2 linked regions of the Oryctolagus cuniculus genome follow. The protein of the gene in region 2 binds, or shares a complex with, the protein of the main gene of each other region. Links are inferred from orthologs where the notes say so. Each region holds a gene or a part of one and is shown on either strand. Other genes may lie near its edges.

Region 1 (4,157 bases), on a different chromosome or scaffold from region 2:
TCCTGGCTTTGGCTGTGACCATTTGGGGAGTGAATCAATGAATGGAATCTCTCACTCTCTCTCTCTGGTAACTCTGCCTTTCGAATAAATAAATCAATCTTAAAAAAAAAAGGTGTTGAATATTTAATTATGTGGAAAATTGGTTCATTTTACTTTTAGTGAAAAAAGCTTGCAAAACAGTTTGTGATGATTCCATTAAAAATGTATGTTTAACCATAGAGCAAAGATTAGAAAAATAAACTGACATTTTAAAGAATTATATCTGGATGATGAAATTGAAAGTGAACAGTGATTATGATTTTCCCCTTTTTGTGGCTCATCTCTGTTTTCTAAGTTTCCATAATGCAAAAGAATATTTCCATGATATGAAAGCTACAAGAATTTTTTTCTAATAAAGAGACCGATTCTCAGAGAGAACATGTGACTTGTCTATACACTGTCATTTCTCTAGTTACCCACGTCCTTGGTATCTCCTAAGTTGGGAGGACCCCAAGGGAGGAAGGGATCCCCATGCGTCCTCCCGTCCGGAACATTTCTGTAAGTCTGTGGTCTGCCTCTTAGTCATATGGAATCCAGCCTCTGAGAACACTGCACAGCGACCCAGCGTCTGGGAGGTGAGAGAAGTGGCAGCGGGGAGAGCTTGCAGCCTGCGTGGTCAACTCCTTGAGGCAGGAGCCAGCCCCCACCCCCATGTTTGCTCCAAGCAGAAACTAAGGCCACACAATCAATTTAATGACAAGGTGAGGCCTTGAATCCATGGCCTTTCTGCCCTGTTGCATTTCTGTATTAAGCTGGTTAGACCGAAGCTTTTCAGACTTCCAAGTGCACAGGAATGCAGTTAAAATGCAGATTCGGACGTGGCTGGCCGGTGGTGGGCCTGAGAAACTGCGCTTCTCACCGGCCCAGCCTCCCCCCTACCCCCGGGGTGGGGGTGGGGGTGTGGAGGGGGTGCTGATGGTGCCGGCCCCGCAGTGCCGGATTCCGGAGCCGGAGGGCCTGGGACTGTCTGCCTGATGTTGCGGTTCCTGTGCCTCCTTTTCCTCAAATTTATAAAATAAGCCTAATACCTATCTGATGGTGTTTTAGCAAAGGCTTTCTAAGTTACTGGGGCCGCCGCCTGCGACCCCAGCATTCCATAGGAGGCTGCTCCACTCCCCATCCAGCTCCCTGCTAATGGCCTGGGAATGCTGCGGACTATGGCCCCTGCAACCCACGTGGGAGACCAAAAACGGAGTTACAGGCTCGTGGCTTGGCCTGGCCCAGCCTCAGCTTTTTGCGGCCATTTGGGGGAGTAAACCAGCGGGTGGAAGATCTCCCCACCCCCGGTCTCCCCCTCTTTCTGTAACTGCTTTTCAAAGAGAGTTAAAAAAAAAAAAAGATTGAATACGTTATTTCACATGAATGCTTCAAACAGCATTCATTAAAAACTATGATTACATTCCGTGGAGCAAGCGGCTGTTGAAGCTGTTTGACGAATGACTGAATGATTAACCTTTGCAAAGAAGTCGCTTCCTGGGTGACTGCAATCCGAGAAGCAAAATGGAAAGGCCCATTGACGGGGAAAGAGGCCCACCTCCCAGAAAGTTCACTCGGCCGGGCGGTCGGGAGCGCCCGGGCCCGGAAGCCGGCCGGCCTGCGCCGCGCGGGCCAATGGGGCCGCGCCGGGGGCGGGGAGAGCGCCCCGCCAGCCCTTTCCGTCTGGGGCGCCGGCGGCCCCGCCCCTTGGAACGTTGCGACGTCCGAGCATTCCACGGTTGCTACATCGTCGCGAGGGGCGGGGCGCCTGTCAGGGAAGCGGCGCGCGCGCGGGCGGCGGGCGGGCCGGGGCTGCACCGCGCAGTGCCAGCGCCAGCGCCAGCGCCAGACCCGTGCGCCACGCTCTGCGGTCCGCCGCCCGCGTCCCCGCTCGCGACTTCGCGCTCCTGCCCTTGCCCGTGCGCTGTCTTTGAGAATGGAGTTGCTGTGCTGCGAGGGCACCCGGCACGCGCCCCGGGCCGGGCCGGACCCGCGACTGCTGGGGGACCAGCGTGTCCTGCAGAGTTTGCTCCGCCTGGAGGAGCGCTACGTGCCCCGCGCCTCCTACTTCCAGTGCGTGCAGAGGGAGATCAAGCCGCACATGCGGAAGATGCTGGCGTACTGGATGCTGGAGGTACCGCCCGGACGCCCCCCACCCCACCCTCGCTGCCCCCCACCGCTGGACCTGCGGGGGCCGCCCTGTCGGAACATCTAGGGCCCCACGCCGCTCTGCAAGATGCTTCGGCGGCCGCGACCCTCGGGGCCTGGCCTTTCCGGCTGTCTCCGCTGTGTCCCCGTCCCCTCCCTGACCCTGATATGTTCCTTCCGACCGGCACGGCCGGTTATGGGCACCCTGGCCCAGCCTCTGCTCGAGCCGGCCGTCCCCTCCACGGCCCCTGCTCCCCCCAACCCCCACCCCGCCCGGTCTTCTCGGTTCCTGCGTGTGTCGCGGGGTGCTGGCTGGGGGTGGGGTGGCGCGCCCGTTCCGGCCCGACGGGGAAGGAGACTGTGGGAGACGGCGGCTGGAGCCTCCTTCCTTCCCCTTGGGTGTGTGCGGTGGGTGGTGGTCGCCGGGGGCAAGGCTCTCCTCTGGCAGCCACGGGCGACCCTTCCTGCCCCTTCGCCTCGCTGTGGGGGAGGGGAATCACTGTTTGGGATTCCTCCCAAGGAAGGGCGCCTTTGCTTTGCCACCCCCTCCAGGGCAGAGGGGAGGAGGCGACTCAGAGGAAACGGGCGGGGGGGGGGGGGCGGCGTCGCCGTGGGGAGGGTGCATCCTCTCGTTACTGGTCCTTGTCACTGTAAGCCGCTTACCCTCTCTCGTGGCCGTGCGCCCCATTCCACTTCCCTTCGGCGCCCCCACCCCACCCCACCCTCTTCCTGCCGCCTCGTTTCCCATGCTCCTGCCCCGTCCGTGACAGTTCGTGCTCCCCCAGGTGTGCGAGGAGCAGCGCTGTGAGGAGGAAGTCTTCCCCCTGGCCATGAACTACCTGGATCGCTACCTGTCCTGCGTCCCCACCCGAAAGGCGCAGCTGCAGCTCCTGGGTGCGGTCTGCATGCTGCTGGCCTCCAAGCTGCGCGAGACCACGCCCCTGACCATCGAAAAACTGTGCATCTACACCGACCACGCTGTGTCTCCCCGCCAGTTGCGGGTGCGTGTGCAGCTGCCCCTGCGCCCCCCACCCCCACCCCCGCACAGGCTGTCTCCCCACTTCCCAGGGAAAGGAAAGCCAAGACTCCAGAGGCTTTCAGCCCTGCCCTGGGGAGGGAAGGGGTTAAGGCATATGGATGCTTTTCGGGAAAGGAACCGGGGTGGAACTGCAGATGGGGCAGTGTGGTGTGGTGGTCAGGGTGGCTTCTGCCCTGGCCTCCAGGGGGTGCCACTGCTTCCTGGTCTTTCCCCCAGATAGCAACAAGTGAAGCTGCGTGTCTGCACTCACTAGTTCTTCGCCTCTGGGTTTACACAGTCACCATGAGTTATTTATTGGCAGCACAGGGCATGCCTGCACACCCCCACTGGACTGGGGGTGTGGAATGTGCTCCTGTGGGGGAGGGGGCTGCCTGCGGTGAGCTTTTTTTTTTTTTTTTTTTTTTCCTCCTCCTGTGGACTTTGTGATAGAAAAGCCTCCCGGAGCAGATTAAAGCCAGGCCCTGGCCGCTCTGAGGAGGTGTTCCTCCCACCTTCTTTCCTTCCCCTCGCGTCCCCAGGGAGACAGTGCCTGCCCTAATCCTCCCTTCCTTGTCCTCGTGCTGAGGAACTGGAGCAGCTGCTTTGGGCCTGGTGGACACATCTCTCTGCCTTTCCCCCTTAGCCAAAGGCCCTTGCCCAGGCAGGGAGCTGAGCTGCAGCTGCTTCCCATGTGATAACGATGCCCCCTCCCCCGGCCCGGCCCTCTGACCAAGGTCTTTCATAACCCAGTGGGGAGTTGCTGTCACTCCTGTGGGTTGGGAAGTGGCTCCCCGGGCCCCTCCACTGGTCATCGGTTCTGCTTGGCCTGGGGAGGAGGCGGGGGAGCTGTTTGGATCTGGAAGAGGTTATTTTAGGGCCCACGGATCATCTCCTAAGGGGCTGGGGGAGCGGGTGGGGGGAGCTGGCACCTTGCTCCGTGGCCAGCCAAGTCTTCTCCTGACCCTGAGAGGAGTCT
Region 2 (4,157 bases):
TGCTCCTCAACCACCACGGGCTGGGGCCGGACATACTGCCGTCTCTCAGCCCAGTCTCGCCCCATACCCACGCCCCACGCCCGCACGTACCAGCAGCAGCTGCGCTCCGGACTCCTCCAGCTCCGGCACCACCGACTGCACTGGGCGGGGCCCTCTTGGGGAGAAGGCCGCTCGGGGGAGCGACACATCTCGGGGCCAGTCGTCTTCCGGAGGCAGCCCGATCAGGCTAGGGAGACACGAAAGCTCTGTCACAGGGGTCCTTCTCCAGCTCCCGTCCCCAGGCAGAGCCAGTGGGTTAACTCCGAGTTCAGCAGAGAGAGGACTCAGAATGGAAAATTCTCTGCCCCCTGGCTGGTCACTTACTCAAAGATTTTGCCCAGCTGGTCGGCTTCGGAGTTTCCACAGAAGAGAGGCCTAGAGCGAGAAGGAATACAAGGTGGCAGTCACTTTCAGAGACAGCGGTGGCATGAGTCCTGCTTAGTGGGACTTAGAGGGTGTGGGGAATAAAGGCATGTGAAGTCTCTGATTCCGTCTCAGAGCTGGTTACGGGCAAGATGGTGAACAGCACCCAAGTACAAAAATGGCCAAGGCATGCATGTGGCTCCTGCACAAGGCGGGGGACTCAGGTTGTGCAGGGAACTTGGGTCCCATACTTTCGACGAAACATTTCTGCAAAGATACAGCCAGCGCTCCACATGTCCACAGGCGTGGCATATGTAGACTGCAGAAGAACCTCAGGAGCACGGTACCAGAGCGTCACAACCTAAGGGAAACAGCGAGAGTAGGTGAGGGCCCCCAGGGCTTCCGGGAAGCACCAGTGCCTGATGGAAGGACAAAGTATGATTTCTCAGCTGCTATGGGCAATCCTTCTCCTACCCCCAACCAGAGCCCATTTTTGGCTACCACATCTTTCTACTGACCACAGGTGTAAGCGCCATCTGGTAGCTGTAGATTCTAGCCAGGCCGAAGTCAGCCAGCTTGACCGTCCCGCTGCTCGTCACCAGAATATTCTCTGGCTTCAGGTCTCGGTGGACGATGCAATTGGCATGAAGGAAATCCAGGCCTCTAAGAAACTGGCGCATCAGATCCTGATTTGCAAGGGAAAAAAAACAGACACACAAGAAACCAGGCATTAGGCCTGAAATGCCCAGGGCTTCTGCTAGAAGGTCCCAACCCACCTCCCCGTGTCCGCCCCCGCCCTTTACCTTGATGGTCTCTGCCGGCAGGCCTGGTGGGGGTGCCTTGTCCAGATACGTCCTTAGGTCTTGGTCGACGTGCTCAAACACCAGGGTCACCTTGATTTCCCGGTCGGTTCGGGAGGTGGCACAGACGTCCATCAGCCTGGCCAGAACAAATGGTCCCTCGCTAGCTAGGATCCTCTGACTCCCCTATGGCCTCCTCATCGTGTACCTCCCCAGGATCCCCACCTCTCTCCTGACCACCACAGCCCCCCTGCCTGGACTGCCCACTCCGGGCCCTGCACCTTCCTCTCACCGGACAACATTGGGGTGCTCAAAGGCCTCCAGCCGCCTGAGTAAAGCCACCTCGCGAACAGTGCTGATGGGAAGGCCCCCTCCAGCGCCTCCTCCATTGGGGACTCGCACGCTCTTGAGGGCCACAAAGTGGCCACTGTGGGGGTCCCGGGCCTTGTACACCGTCCCGTAGGCACCGACACCAATTTCAGCTACAGGCTCGTAGCGAGAGGTAGCCATTCTCAGATCAGGGTTGACCCTAGGAACACAGAGATTCCCTGCACCACATGCTCTCCCAGAGCTGGGATGGCCTGAGCTGGCAGCGGACAAAGTGATTCCGACACGGATGGCACAGACGGCCCCACCTGCACCCCGCGCCCTCCGCGACCGCCCGCCGCGCCGCGCCTCAGGTAACAATGACTCCAACAGCGACCCCTCCAGCCACGTGAGGCCGCACACTTTGTAAAAGCCCCCTTTCCTTTGGGAACATCGCATCCAGCACAAAGGAGATCACACACATACACACGCCTGGCGCCGAGGATCCCGCACCCCGGTCCCCGAAATTACACCTTCCCACGTCCACAAAAGCCCCACTTCTCGCCCGCGGGCGACCCTCCCATAAATCGCCTGCGAAGCGCACGCATGGGAAGCGGCTGTGGGGGGAGGGGGCGGCGGCGGGACTGGCCCCCAGTGGGGGCAGGGGCTGCACTTACCTCACTCCAGGCTGGGAGGTGCAGGGGCGGCCCGTTATCGGGGCCCCGGAGCTGGTTCCTCCAGCGCCATACACCCGAGCTCGGTCCTGGGCACCTGGACGCTCCGGGCCCGACCATAGACATAGGCCGCAGGCTAGAGAGGCCCCCTCACCCCCACCCTCACCATGTGACCAGCTGCCAAAGAGGCGCGCGGAAACTGGGAGGGCGGGGCGGGCGCCGGACGTTCGGGACACGTGACCGCCACCCATGCGCAGAGGGGCGGCCGAGCTGGGCTTGGACGGGGAGGGGGGCCCTGAGGGGAAAGGGGGCGGAGGGGGGATGCCAGCCACGTGACCTGTTGCTATCACACGTGACCGCTTGACATTGCTCTGAGGAGCAGAGGTGTGGTTACGCGGCGGGGCACGTGACTGGCTGCCATAACCTCAGCGCCAGGGAGGTGGGGTGGGAGAGGGGGAACGGGAGAGGGTGGAGTCCGAGGCGGTGCCATGGCAACCTGGGCCACCCGGCTCCCGACTCCACGCTGAGGGCAGAGCACCCGAGCTCCTGGCCGGCTGCTGGCCTCGCAGCCTCTCCACGCTGGCGGGAGGTGGGGGCAGGGGCGTCGGCGGTGGCAGGTGGGGCTGTCACCTTACGGCTCCGCGGCCGTGGGAAAACAATCGGATTTGTGTCTTTGTTTCACTCATTCATTCAACAAAATTGCATTGAGCGCTTGCTTGCAGTGTGTGTGTGGGGTTTTGTTTTGGTGTCTGCGTCACTGGCTCTTAGGAGTAGTGGTAAGGCTGTATATAAAATGTGGTCCTATAGGGAGTAGACAATGCCCATCTGAGGGCAGACTGGAATTAGAAGAGGGGTGGAAGGCAGGTTAATAGAGTAATCCAACAGGAATTGTGGCAAGGTAGTGCTTGCCTCTCTTCCCGGTCCGGGCTGCTTCCAGCCCTCTCTGGGAGTGTTACAATAGACTGGGTGCTGTCAGGCAGAGAAGTTATTGATGAGCAGGAGGCAGGAATATCGGCTTTGATCTTGAAGGTTCTTTTCAGCGTTGAGTTTACAAATCTGTGATATGTGGATGCGTGTGTGTGTGTGTGTGTGTGTGCTATGTGATATGTGTGTCCTTTGTCCTCAGATGAATAGGTAGAGGGATCACCATAACCATCACCAACATCCCAGGCCACTGCTATACACGAGATTGACTTCTGGCCTCCTGCCAACCTTGTAACTCACTCGGGGGCCTTGTGCTTTCTTTTCCCCAGACACCACCTTCTTAGCGCTCATCACCGCCCTGAACACAGCCTTTCCCAAATAGCCTCTGCCTACAGACACCTAGACACAGGTAGATTTCTTATCTTATTGGCTCCAACTTCTTTATCTCCCAGCTCTTTGAGGACATGGGAGTAAAGAGATTGAGCATCTTGTCTGTGAGAAATTGTCTAAAATCTGTAAGCATTTTATTACCCTATTTGCCACTCCTTGCACCCTAAGTTCTGTTCTCAACTCTGGTGGTCATGTAAGAGTTCCGACCTGAAGATGAGTTCACATGAGTCAGGGCAAGATGGAAGTATGTCAGTGCCCATTCCACTTCGGATACTTGCGACGCTTGGGCCCTGGCTACAAGGGCAGCTGGGACACCAGTAAGGAAAACTTCAAGATCCGAACGAAGAGGCTGGAGAGGTGAAGGTTTCAATGGCTACCAAGCAGGGGCTGGTTGGTCTGTGAGCCTTCCAGAGCCTGGGCTAAGTGGGAGTTTGTCGAGCTCTCTTGCCCATCAGCAGTCCTCACTTCGCCTCCATCTTCCACGGAAGCCCTCTGCGGGTCACTGGGCTGCGAACACAGCCATCTTTCCTGTATGGGCACTTGGGTCCCAGCACCTTTTCCTGGTTCATCCATTTGTCCATCCAAAACATTTGAATTCTTCCCAAGATCACGACTGTCTAGCACTTCCTATTGGGGAGTCTTAATTTGGCGGTCTGTCCCT

What was found. Proteins that work in one complex are often made in the same cells at the same time.
Region 1: the proteins of CDK4 (region 2) and CCND3 are in contact, whole or in part, in a crystal structure (PDB 7SJ3), measured with the Homo sapiens proteins. The link is inferred for Oryctolagus cuniculus from reciprocal best matches to the Homo sapiens genes CDK4 and CCND3. Residues at the interface, in NP_000066.1 of Homo sapiens: Gly46, Gly47, Gly48, Leu49, Ile51, Thr53, Val54, Arg55, Val57, Ala58, Leu59, Arg61, Arg62, Glu64, Ala65, Phe66, Val77, Ala79, Val89, Asp129, His132, Ala133, Asn134, Cys135, Arg163, Ile164, Tyr165, Ser166, Tyr167, Gln168; in NP_001751.1 of Homo sapiens: His11, Pro13, Arg14, Ala15, Gly16, Pro17, Asp18, Arg20, Leu21, Arg26, Val27, Ser30, Leu31, Arg33, Leu34, Arg37, Tyr38, Glu74, Lys112, Leu113, Arg114, Glu115, Thr116, Pro118, Ile121, Glu122, Pro134, Arg138, Glu141, Val142.

The regions. Positions count from the first base shown.
Region 1 is NC_091436.1:127,962,988-127,967,144, forward strand, and holds the start of CCND3 (G1/S-specific cyclin-D3), read left to right. Parts: upstream 1-1,789; 5' UTR 1,790-1,951; coding exon 1,952-2,149; intron 2,150-2,948; coding exon 2,949-3,164; intron 3,165-4,157. UniProt on the Homo sapiens protein: Regulatory component of the cyclin D3-CDK4 (DC) complex that phosphorylates and inhibits members of the retinoblastoma (RB) protein family including RB1 and regulates the cell-cycle during G(1)/S transition.
Region 2 is NC_091442.1:60,322,071-60,326,227, forward strand, and holds the start of CDK4 (cyclin-dependent kinase 4), read right to left. Parts: upstream 2,439-4,157; 5' UTR 2,434-2,438; coding exon 2,186-2,433; intron 1,732-2,185; coding exon 1,495-1,731; intron 1,342-1,494; coding exon 1,206-1,341; intron 1,089-1,205; coding exon 921-1,088; intron 764-920; coding exon 654-763; intron 415-653; coding exon 364-414; intron 227-363; coding exon 91-226; intron 1-90.